3 linked regions of the Oryzias latipes genome follow. The protein of the gene in region 1 interacts with the protein of each later gene in a biochemical or structural test. Links are inferred from orthologs where the notes say so. Each region holds a gene or a part of one and is shown on either strand. Other genes may lie near its edges.

The links.
Region 2: the proteins of snta1 (region 1) and gda interact in a test that uses a peptide from one of them, tested with the Homo sapiens proteins (2 studies listed by BioGRID and IntAct). The link is inferred for Oryzias latipes from reciprocal best matches to the Homo sapiens genes SNTA1 and GDA.
Region 3: the proteins of snta1 (region 1) and potassium voltage-gated channel subfamily A member 1-like interact in a test that uses a peptide from one of them, tested with the Homo sapiens proteins (2 studies listed by BioGRID and IntAct). The link is inferred for Oryzias latipes from reciprocal best matches to the Homo sapiens genes SNTA1 and KCNA5.

Annotation. Positions count from the first base shown.
Region 1 is NC_019863.2:11,940,019-11,943,667, reverse strand, and holds part of snta1 (alpha-1-syntrophin), read left to right. Parts: intron 1-1,530; coding exon 1,531-1,661; intron 1,662-1,977; coding exon 1,978-2,174; intron 2,175-2,761; coding exon 2,762-2,949; intron 2,950-3,649. UniProt on the Homo sapiens protein: Adapter protein that binds to and probably organizes the subcellular localization of a variety of membrane proteins. May link various receptors to the actin cytoskeleton and the extracellular matrix via the dystrophin glycoprotein complex.
Region 2 is NC_019867.2:16,716,881-16,721,100, reverse strand, and holds the start of gda (guanine deaminase), read right to left. Parts: upstream 2,901-4,220; 5' UTR 2,849-2,900; coding exon 2,720-2,848; intron 2,162-2,719; coding exon 2,073-2,161; intron 1,772-2,072; coding exon 1,600-1,771; intron 1,404-1,599; coding exon 1,316-1,403; intron 1-1,315. UniProt on the Homo sapiens protein: Catalyzes the hydrolytic deamination of guanine, producing xanthine and ammonia.
Region 3 is NC_019881.2:23,512,052-23,516,181, forward strand, and holds the start of potassium voltage-gated channel subfamily A member 1-like, read left to right. Parts: upstream 1-1,189; 5' UTR 1,190-1,936; coding exon 1,937-4,048; 3' UTR 4,049-4,130. UniProt on the Homo sapiens protein: Voltage-gated potassium channel that mediates transmembrane potassium transport in excitable membranes. Forms tetrameric potassium-selective channels through which potassium ions pass in accordance with their electrochemical gradient.

The sequences.
Region 1 (3,649 bases):
ACATTTGTGCATGTTGCATGGATGAAAATTGGTCATATGTGAAAATACATGGAAAAAGGGAGAAAAGTTGTAGTCTTTACATGAGATTTTCACCGATGTATCACTAATGAACCACGTTAAAACCACGGAAAAAGTACGAATAAACCACGCACAGAGAATACGTAAATCCACTGAGAACATGAACTGTTCGTGATTATCGCGCTGTTTAAATGTAATTCATAAGCGATTCGTGCGTCAGTTAGTTAACTTAAGTTAACTAAGTTAGTTTTTTCACCTAAGTTTAACGTTATGTGTTCATATTATACACAATGTAAAAGTTATACATCTGTGGGACATGCGTGAAAAGTCTGTTAGAAATACCTGTAACGGCATCACCCGACTGTAACAAACTACATGAAAAAAAAGAGCAAGTTAAAATGTTTTGTTTTCAGGCCAGTTTTTGGTTCCTGGGAGCTAATAGTTTTTCTTATTTTAATAAGCAGATCACCTACATAGGTCAATTTTATTTATTGTTATGTAGAACCAATAAATGCATTTTGTAAGTAACTTTTTTCTGCCTTAGTTTTTTGCACCGAAAAAATACCTAAAAATAGATAGATCAAAAAGGGAGAAATTCAGCTGTCCAGCAGCAAAACACAAGCCTCAACTAAGCAGGTTAGTAGAATACCGGAATTAGAATACGTTTGTGTACACAGAACAAAAACAGTCTTCTGTTTGAGAAAAATAAACTGCATCCACTGTTCCCTGATAGGAATATTTTTTGGAAATAGCTTTCCTTCACAACCTAACCCACATTTTTTTTTTTTTGCTACTTACTAAATAAACTCAAGATCAGGTGGTTTCCCTGTGAAGCCGCTCAGAACACACTGACTGTTAACTCCTCTACATGCTGTACCAACCTCTGCTGGATGCTTTGTTTAGCAATCTAAGATTACCCGACATCGCTGCTTTAGATTTTTCTGAGATTATTACACACACTGGAAATGCTCCACAGCCCTCTAAAGATTGAAGAATAGTTTTTCATGTTTGTTTATAACACATTTGAAACTTAAAAATATGTGTTGGACAACTGTTACTTTTCATAAAATCCTCACTAAAAAAATACCTTTAGGTGTTAAAGCTTCACTATTGGGAGCCTATCCTGCAAAGAAGACACCACAAAAGAGAACATCGCAAAGTAGATAATAACAAAAAGGCATATGGGAAACATTAGTTATAATAAATGTTGTAAACATACCATCAATTACATTTTGATTTTCTTTCAGAAGCAACAAAATGCTTTAAATCACATTTAAGTTCAAGATTTTCAAGAGTTTGATGTTTGTCTTCAAGCTTTTTGCTTAGGAATGTGAGAGAGTCTGTGAGAAATGACATGTGAAGCTATTTAGGCATCCTCATGTGGACGATTCTTCAAATGCATTTGAAGTTTAGAGAACAACTGCTCCCTTGAATCCAGAAGGAGCAGATTCTTTGCAAAGCAAAAGGTCTCGGTGATTAACTTGACTGTGAAGTGGGTGTTTGTGTGTGCAGATGCGTCAGGGTCCAGAGAAAGCAGTCCTGGCTGTGTTGACGGAGAAAGACCTTCTGCTGTTTCCATCACTGCCTGAAAACAAGCAGAGCCTCAGCAGCCCCACCAAGAGCCACCCGCTCATCACCACCAGGTTCTCACATGGATGTGTGGCTTAGGACTTTTGCTCTCATCTTTTTTTTCTGCCGTCCAGTAAACCAGTTTGCTCTCTTTCTTTTCTTCCCTGTTACACATGTTCACTCCTTCCACATCTAAACTGCTTTACAACATCACACCTCTGGGGAAAAACTATATTTTTAGCAGAATCTATGAGTCATATTTTTCTCACTTCTTCCTCTCTTACATGCCTCATTTCCATCTTTTTTTTCTTGGCTAGAGCATCTGTAATAGTTCTTAACAGGTGTCTTTTCCAGCCGCAGTCCAGTAATATTTCCTCCCCATGCGCTCAGATTGGTCCACTCCGGTCCAGGAAAAAGTTGCCTGCATGCGGACTCTGAGCTGTCCTTTGGCCTGCGATCAGGAACCAGACAGGGTGTGGAGACTCACGTGTTCCGGGTGGACTCTGCGAAAGAGCTGTCCGCTTGGACCCATTTGTTGGTGGAGGGTTGCCACAACGCTGCTGAGCTCATCAAAGAGGTCACCACGGGTACAGAACCTTCCAGAAAATAAGTTTTCATGTTGCTCTTAAGGCGTGCTGTGCAGTTTCTTCGTGACTCAACACCAGAGGTATTCTCTGCAGATCCCATAGGATTGCTGTTTTTTCTCTATAAGGATTTTTATTCTATTCTAGGAAAAAGGAGAACGGAAATCCAAAGTTTCTAAAGTAGAAAAAAAAAAAATATATATATATATATATATATATAAACTTTTGAAACTTTGGATTTTTTTCTCTGTATTTATCCTAATCTAGGTTAATCTAATCGGACTATTTTCAATTTTTATGGCTTTTTAAGCAAAACTTAAAAACCAAAACAAAACATTTAGTGGATGTAGTTTTTGCAATTGCACATTTGAGCATATCCAGTTTCACTTCCTATACTCATAACGCCCTCTGCTGTTTGCATGGGGGTAGTGCGGAAAACTTTATTAGAAAATGATCTCAGCATGTCTTAATTGTATTTGAAATGAAATAAAAATTAGAAGCTACTATGAAAAATAAATAAATAAATAACTTCTTATTTTATTTAAAAAAAAAACACCTTTCACCTTTATTTATTGTTTCTGCCATTGCAGCCTGCAGTTGGAACGGGAAAGAGTGTACTTTGGGAGTGCACATCGACGAGGGTTTCACACTTTATACAGAAGAAATGGGAGTCAGGAAAAGCATTCTCCTCCAGCAGCCCTTTGAGCGCCTTCGAATGTCATCAGATGACGGAGTTCGAATGATGTTCCTCGACTTTGGAGGCCCTGAGGCTGAGCTTGTCAGACATACCTTTTTATTTTAAAATTACAGATGCAGTATTCAAAGTCGAAACAATTCTTAAAACTAAAGCAAACTAAAATAAAGAAGTCATTTAAGATATGTGGCTAAATGTAATATTAATTTTGATAGGAAAGTCAAATATGTCCCAACGTTAAAGCCCAACAATAAGGGATTGTTTACTTTTTCTGTCAATTTTAATGGGAAAAGGAAGCAACACAAACCAGTACATTAGGCTTCATAAAATATCTATTGTAAAAGTGTTCCCAGTAATCTTTTAGTTATGATTATAACGTTTTAGCCTAAATCAAAAAGTCCTGTTGTTATCTAGGACATAGTTTTTTCATAGCAGCATGAGTTTTTTTTTTTTTTAGAAATTCACCTTCGAGTTGTGGGCGGAACCGTTACAGCGGAGCAGTACTGCTCCTCTTACTCTCTCTCTTGCTGAGAGCTTTCTGTTTACAAGCTCTCCCGTTAGCTTGCAGCCGCTCACATCCCCAACTTAAAAGAAGAATGTGTGTGAGTCTGCTCCTGATTCAGGGCGATTGAATAAAAAATACTCAGAAATGCAAAGTCAAGCTTAATTTTCTTTGTATATGTCCTCATCATGAGAAAAATGCCACAATGACATGTTAAAAACACAGAAACAGCTATTTTCAACAGAGTGGGTCTTCGAACTGAACCTAATATTAGACATGTTG
Region 2 (4,220 bases), on another chromosome or scaffold:
GGATGAGGACTGAAAGCAAGCAAAGCTGCAGGAGGAAAGGCAAAGTGGAACACAGCCTTGACCAATATGATTTGTTACATCAGTGTTTCCTGTCATGACCTGCAATGACATTTCCAGTGTCAACACTTTTTCAGTCCACTGTTGTGTTTAATTACCCCAGGATATTTGATTAATAATGATATTTTTTTAAATAATTTTATCAGTATAGTTTAGTTTTTACTTTTTACTTTTTAGACCCAATCCCATCCTTGTTCCACTCTTTAGTAACCTGAGCATGCATGTGGTAGACCTTTGTACAGCACGTTTAGTTATTTTTTTTAATTTGAAAAAAAAGGAAAAATCTAAAACCAGGTTAATTTGTTTTGAATTAAGTTTGTTTTTAACCTGGCCGGATGTATTCTTCCTCATCTGAGATGCTGAGATACAAATCTTTCAGACGCTTTTTGCATGTGTGTAACAAGGATGTGCTTCCCCAAGTGTCACCGATTCAGTGCATGATCAGCGGGTGACTTAGGGTGGAGAGCTGTTGCTGCGCCTGTTTGTGCTACTGTGACTAAACATCTGGAATGAAGTTAGAGAATGCACATTTATATCAGATTTTCTGAAAGGAATTGTATGACCAAGGAAAATTTTATCTGATTTTACATGCTTAGTCATTGTCTTAATCTAACTCTGAATGCTATACCGAGTCGAACTGCCTGATACAACGCACAAAAGGGGAAACGAAAGTACAAATTTTAAAGAGCACATGGATGCAAGATAATAAATGTACCAATGCTGAAAACTGATGTTCAAGAAGTAACAGCTAGCTGTAAGGAGGACAAAGGTTAGAGTTCAATGTACCTGATTACATAAAATGACTGTAAAACTGTCAAAGCCAATGTTTGGTTCAGCTCGGCTGCATCGTTACACATTTATGTGACCATGTGTTCTGAATGACGCAAGCACATTGATAAGGACAAAGCATAAAGGTGAAGCTCCATTCAGATTTTACAGGATTTTTAACTGAAGAGAGAAGCAATTCTCCTTAAAACAGTTAAGATACCTGAACTTGTATTGTACTTTGAGCTGGTGCTCTACTTTTAACGGATACTGTACAACTGGAAGAGGTGCTGCATAATAAAGTGGGAAAAATTTACTTAAATCGTCACAATGAGTTTCTAAAGTTGTCTGAAAATTATGCTTTAAAAGTACGTTTTCTTTTTTTTAATAATCTGTGTTTTTGTGTACTCTTTGGAGATGGGACATGCTGTTTGAGGAAGCCCATATTTAAAAGGATCAATGCATGTGTGGGTTTGCATGTAGGAAATCTTACTTGCAATCTGACCCAACAGAAGAGAGGCATCTGTATGTATGGTAGCAAAGTAACATGCAGTTGTTGTTCCGTTTCTTAAAGTCCTCTTCTGTAAAGCACAGAAACCAAAGCATGGATTAACACTCATTTTAAATGCCTGTACAGTTTAGGTTACAAATCTCAAAGGCCACATGAAAAACTGCAAGCATACGGTGTCTTTATGACACTAAAATGACCCAACAACCTTTGTTATAGGGCCATGCTGAGACTGTTTAGTCTCAAAGATACCATTTGCCAAAACTCACCACTACTTGTGTGTAGATTTTCTTGGCAAACTCCAAGTCCTTGAAGTGTGACTCCACAGGGAAGGTGTAAGTATTGAGCCACTGCAGTAAAGGCATGTCCAAGGCTGTGCCTGCGTAGCTGTACTGGGATGCATGGATGTGTGTGTCAATCATTCCTGGCATGAAGAACTCACTGCAGAATCAAATTAAAGTTAGATAAAAAATGCATTTTTCAAATCATATTTCATTTATAATATATATTTTAAAGCAAGATATGCACATTTATGTTTCAAAGATGTGTTTTTTACATCCCGTCTTTGCCGACCAATATTATTGCTATTATGATGCTATTACCCATGCAGATTCCCCTTTACGTTGAGTTCATTCATTCATTTTTGGTCCTTTTTCAAGACGATCGTGTTCAAACTCATCCATCCCAATCAACTAAAATCAAAACTTGTAAATCTACAACTAAAGGTTTTGATTTGACTTACTGTTGTGCCAGTTGATTGACGTCTGATGGGTTGAATCCAAACTTCTGAGACAGTTCCAGTAAGTTTTCACCCTTTCCAATGAAAGAAATCTGACAAGCCAAAAAGAAATCAGGTAAATTCTTTTTGAAAATTGCAAGATGTGAAAGGTGAAAATGTTGATAAAATTCTGTGCAATGTAAAAATAAATTTGAAAAGAATTAATAACACTTTGAATAGACTGTACTTGGAAGATCCCCACTCAGGAGGTATTTTAGGGCAATATTGTTGCACTATTCTCAGAGTAATGCTGCAACATTGTTTTATAATGCTTGAGTGCAAACTGAGAAAAACTAACTTTAGTATTTTCTTAATTTTTATTTTACTTTCTAGGGAGAAGTTTTGCTGTTTATTTAGCCTCATCCTTTTATTGTGTTCAAAAACTTAAACAGTATTTAATAAAAGTTTACCATAACTAGACTATTAGGTTATGTGATTAATAGCAGTTGAAAAAAAAGACCTGCACTTTGCTTTAGATTCACGGGGATTTAAAGTAAACAAATGCTGCGAAAATTAACATTAACATACATTCGTTTATTTTTAAAACCAGTGAAACGCAAAAATGCAAATATTTCGTTTTGTTTTTATTTTCATTTCAGAAAGGGACCAACCTTCCCGGCAGTGTCCACTCCCAGGAGCGCGTCCTCCAGGACCTGCAGCGCCGTTTCGGGGGTCGAGTGGATAAATGTCCCCCTGAAAACGTGCGTAACTGGGCCGCTGGAACACTCCGAGTTTGCCATCTTTCCTCCAGATCACTGTCAATCACTCAGTTTGACATTGGCCGGTGGATTTTTATTCTAAGTGAAGCTCAGAGTAACACCCACTAGGAGGCAGGACTTCCAGCAGCCAATAGAAGGACAGGAGGTGGTTGCGCTTTTTCAGGTGCGTCTGCCCGCGCGGCTTGGGTTTATCCATAAACGCTTTTTTGTTGGCGTGCAGGAAAGTAAGCCCTCATCTTTTCTATTGTTCCAAAGAGTATGCCAAACTTTGCATTAACTTTAAATGTTATATAAGAATGGCAACATATAATATGCAGGAACATAATGAAAAAGGCTCGTTGAAGTCCATCAACTTCTGAAAGTAATTCCAAGTACATCCTTTTATAAATAAAGCAAAATGTTATACTATTTTTTTTCTTTAAAAATGCTTTGCAAATTGGCACATAACATTGTAATTTTTAACAGGGAGACAGATTTTTAAAAATTAACTTTATGATATAGAATTCCCGACCATTAAATAATCTGTGAAATAATTAATAGATTTATGACCAAAGTTTAGGTGCTGGCTTCTCATTCATATACTTGATACCCTTTAGGTGATGTACTTTTAAAATGTATACAGGTTTAATTTAACAATCCAGCTTAAAAACATGTTAAATTCAAGATTTTAAGACGTCTTTATGAGGGTGCTTAGAGTATTTAGCTACATGTGTCCCTGTATGAATGGTTGTACCCTGCCTTCATCCAAAATGTAATAGTCACCTTTTAGTGTAATTGTACCCGTTTTTTCTTTTTCTATAAAAATGAACACGCTAACATTTTTAATGACTATGGAACATGAAATTCAGAGATTTTATAGAGGAAAAGATTCTTCTTTTTCAAATAATATTGTATATGCAGAAAACAAGCCCAGTGAGGTGCATTAACAAGGGAATGTGACCCCTCTGTGACCAACACATTCATATTTATGAGAAACACATTGAAGTTACAACATTGTTATATTTATAAAGTCCACATGACTAATGACATGAATTTATGATGATGCTAGCATGCACCAAAGGGATGATCTGCACAGAACTTATGGTTATCCTGTGACTTGATGCAGAAAAAGGAGAACTTTCTCTGACATTTCTTATTTCTGAGTAAAAGTTACTTCATGGAAAACATTACATCATTTTTTTGGAAGGTAAAAGTTATCTGACTTTATGTGGCTGAACTTTCAGCATGGCACCCAGTGGCACCCAACTATAGCTCAAAATCCCCTTCACTCACAAATCAAAGTCACATAAACGTTTCAATAGTTTCAACACCTGGGCAAAAATGGCAGACCAATTATTTAAAAAAAATGTAAGAAACCTTCCTAAATTAAGAGTAAGCATAAATCTATTTAGAA
Region 3 (4,130 bases), on another chromosome or scaffold:
GCTGCATCTGCCACAGGATGTCTTGAAGTTGTGAAGGTCAAATGAGATCTCCAGATTATCAAGGCATTCTGGGTAGAAATGTGCTGCCTAGTGTCAGAAAGCTTGGTCTCAGTCGCAGGTCATGGGTCTTCCAACAGGACAACCATCCAAAACACACAGCCAGAAACCCCCAAGAATGGCTCAGAGAAAAGCGTTGGACTATTCTGAAGTGGATTCTATGAGCCCAGATCTGAATCCCATTGAACATCAGTGGAAGGAGCTGAAACATGCTATTTGGAGAACCGTCAAACCTGAGACAACTGGAGCAGTTTGCTCATGAGGAGGGGGCCAGAATACCTGTGGACAGGTGCAGAAGGCTCATTGACAAATACAGAAACCGTTTAGTTGCAGTGATTGTCTCAAAAGGTTGTGCAACAAAATATGAAGTTATGGTTACCATCATTTTTGTCCAGCCCTATTTCATTAGTTTGTTTTTTTTAAATAATTCTGTTCATCAAAAACTCAAAAGTAATGGTTGATTCTGATTTTTCAATTTTCAATACATATTAATTTATTGTTCCCTTTGAACCTTTCAAGTCATTTCAGTGAACATTGTGGACTTCCTTTCTTTAACTGAGGGGTACCAACTATTTTGTCCACCACTGTATGTGATACAGTTGCAGTGCTAAACATTGTAATCATTAAATAGACTGCATTAGATCGTATTATTACGATGAAAGACACATTAATATCCAGGTACAGTTTTTTAAGTCATACTCCTAAAAAAAAAAGTTTTCCAATAAAATATCTGGATACGTATCGTATCGCCGCTGTCCCCCTTCAGGGGTCGCCACAGAAAATCCGCTTTTACTGATTTACTCAGAGTTTGTAGCCGCTTTCAAGCGGTGGGGGTGTGGCCTTCTAAGAAGCTCCCTCCTGATTGGTGAGAGTGGTTGTCATAGAAACAATGACTCTGACCCATTTGGATCAAGAAAGTCAATTCAGTTGCCATTTTTGTCTGAATCACGTCCGTGTCGTGCAGAAATGGTGACTGAATCGACCCCCTCTGGTTGGAGCTGGTTGGAGCTTCATGGATGACGTCACTTAGTCCAGAACGGCGTAGGCCGAGCAGAACTGCAAACGTTTGGAGTTTCTGGAGCATTGTCATGGGACGAGTCTCTGCTCGTTTGGTCCACAAAAACCACAGGAATTCTGGAGGAATGTGACGTCATGAGCTTGGAGGTGGAAACGCCGCCAGCTCCAAGCTGAGGAGCATCAGTGACGACTGGAAACTTTCAGCGTTCATCATCTGAAACCTCAACTTGATTGTTTGTTTGTTTTTTTCATCACCAAAAGCTGACAGTTTGTTTCCAGCGGTGTGTGATGGCTCGATGACGTCACAGAAGCACGAGGAGAGTCGTGTTTCCTTCAGGGTCTTTGACCAGCGCGGCTGAAAGGAACAAAGAAGATCCTGGAGAAAAGGCTCCTTCAAAGGACAGAGTGCCGCCCGGGGGCCGCCCCCCCCCCCCCCACAGGAGAGGACTCGGACACAAAGGCAGAGAAGGCGAGGAGCTGGTCACGTGGGAGGACGGCTTTGGGAGAGACAAGGAGAGAGGGGGGGGGGGGGCATTCTTTGAAAAGGACATTCAAAGCGTGAAGAAGAGCTGGAGTCCAGAGTCTTCATCAATCTCCCACATAATCCCCGCCCACAAATCAGAGACTCCTGCCGCTCTGCAGAAACTATGTCCTAGAAAACAGAACTAAAACGTCAGAGGATGAAAAGGGAACTGGGAACGCTCTGAAAACAGATCAGAGGACTCGACCTCTGAGACCGGTGGGTGTGAAGGGTTCCCTGGAGAACCCAGAGAACATATTGGTTCCGCATGGAGATATTTGCACAAATGTTCCTTAGAAGAGTTCACGTCCCTGTGTTTTTGGAGGGGGGGGGTGTCTCTGAATGCTGACTGACAGCACAGAAATGCAACCGCCGTGCGCGCGCTTTGTGCCACAAACGGAGCGCGTCTCCGCTGCTGGAGAGAGGGAGGGAGCGCATCTCTCTCTCCTCTCAGACGTGTTTCGGTTTTCCGCGGCGGCTGAGCGCGCGAGCCTCACTCCTGACGTCAGGAGTGATCATCGCGGCTGCTCTCTAATCCGGGTCTGCGTCTCTTCCCGCGGTCTGGATGTTGACATCTCTCCCAGCTGCGGCGCTCCGGAGCGGCGGCGTTCCACGCATGCCCCCGCGCGCGGAGCAGCCGTGATCCAGAGCTCAGCTCCGCGCGCACAGCCCCCCCCCCCCCCCCCCCCCCTGTATCCGGACTCAAACCTGCGGGATGTTCGGGCTCCACGCGCCCCCTCAGCTTCTGCTTCAGTGACCGTGGATGGCAGCGGCATGGAGATCGCCTTGGTGAGCTTTGAAAACGGCGGCGCCAAAGGCGGCGGCGGGAATGCCGAGGAGAACTGCCGGCACGCGCTGGAGGTCCCTCAACCGGGCTTCGTCCAAACGGCGCTGGGAGAGGAGCGCGGGAAGGAGCTGAACACCCGCGGGAGCCCCCGGCAGCAGCTGAGCCCCTGGAAGATCAACGACATGAACACCACGCTGAGCTGCAGCGAGAACGCCATGGATGCGCTTTTACGCGCGGACCACAGCCCCCACCTGTTCGACGAGGACCTGCTGGACATGGACGTGGACGCGGAGAGCAACGAGCGGGTGCTCATCAACATCGCCGGGCTGAGGTACGAAACCCAGCTGGGCACTCTGAACCAGTTCCCGGAAACGCTGCTGGGAGACCCGGCCAAGAGGATCAAGTACTTCGACCCGCTCCGGAACGAGTACTTCTTCGACCGGAACCGGCCCAGTTTCGACGGGATTCTGTACTTTTATCAGTCCGGGGGGAAGATCCGCAGACCCGTCAACGTGTCCATCGACGTGTTCGCCGACGAGATCCGGTTCTACCAGCTGGGAGAAGAGGCCATGGAGCGGTTCCGCGAGGACGAGGGCTTCATCAAGGAGGAGGAGAAGCCGCTGCCCCAGAACGAGTTCCAGAAGCAGGTCTGGCTCATCTTCGAGTACCCGGAGAGTTCGAGTCCGGCGCGGGGCATCGCCATCGTGTCCGTGATCGTCATCACCATTTCCATCATCACCTTCTGCCTGGAGACGCTGCCGGAGTTCCGGGACGAGCGCGAGCTGGCCGTGAGCGTCCGGCCGGACAACGGCACGGCGCCGCGGCCCTCCCTCACCTTCTCGGACCCGTTCTTCATCGTCGAGACCACCTGCGTCATCTGGTTCACCTTCGAGCTGTTCGTGCGCTTCTTCGCGTGTCCCAGCAAGTCGGAGTTCTCCAAGACCATCATGAACATCATCGACATCATGTCCATCATGCCTTACTTCATCACGGTGGGCACGGAGCTGGCGGAGCAGCAGGGCCAGGAGCACCAGAACGGCCAGCAGGCCATGTCTCTGGCCATCCTGAGGGTCATCCGCCTGGTCCGGGTCTTCCGGATCTTCAAGCTGTCCCGCCACTCCAAGGGGCTGCAGATCCTGGGCCAGACTCTGAAAGCCAGCATGCGCGAACTGGGGCTGCTCATCTTCTTCCTCTTCATCGGAGTCATCCTCTTCTCCAGCGCCGTGTACTTCGCCGAGGCGGACGAGCCCGAGTCCCACTTCTCCAGCATCCCCGACGCCTTCTGGTGGGCCGTGGTTACCATGACGACGGTGGGCTACGGGGACATGCGGCCGGTGACGGTCGGGGGGAAGATCGTGGGCTCGCTGTGCGCCATCGCGGGGGTTCTGACCATCGCGCTGCCGGTTCCGGTCATCGTGTCCAACTTCAACTACTTCTACCACCGCGAGACCGACCAGGACCAGTCCTCCCTGAAGGACGAGCCCGCAAGCGGCCGCGCCAGCCCCGAGCCGCGGCGCCGGGGCAGCCGGGCCTCCGCCAAGTCCCAGGACGCGGAGAAGAACGAGGGGGGCGACGGGGGGGAGAAGAACATGAAGGCGAACAGCAGCGTGGACTTCAAGAAGTCCCTGTACGCCTTCTGCCTGGACACGCGCGAGACAGACCTGTAGACCCGGACCCGCCCGAGCCCGCAGAACCGCCCCCCAGCCTCACCCCCCTCCCCCGGGCTGCACAGGCTCAAAGGTCTCAACC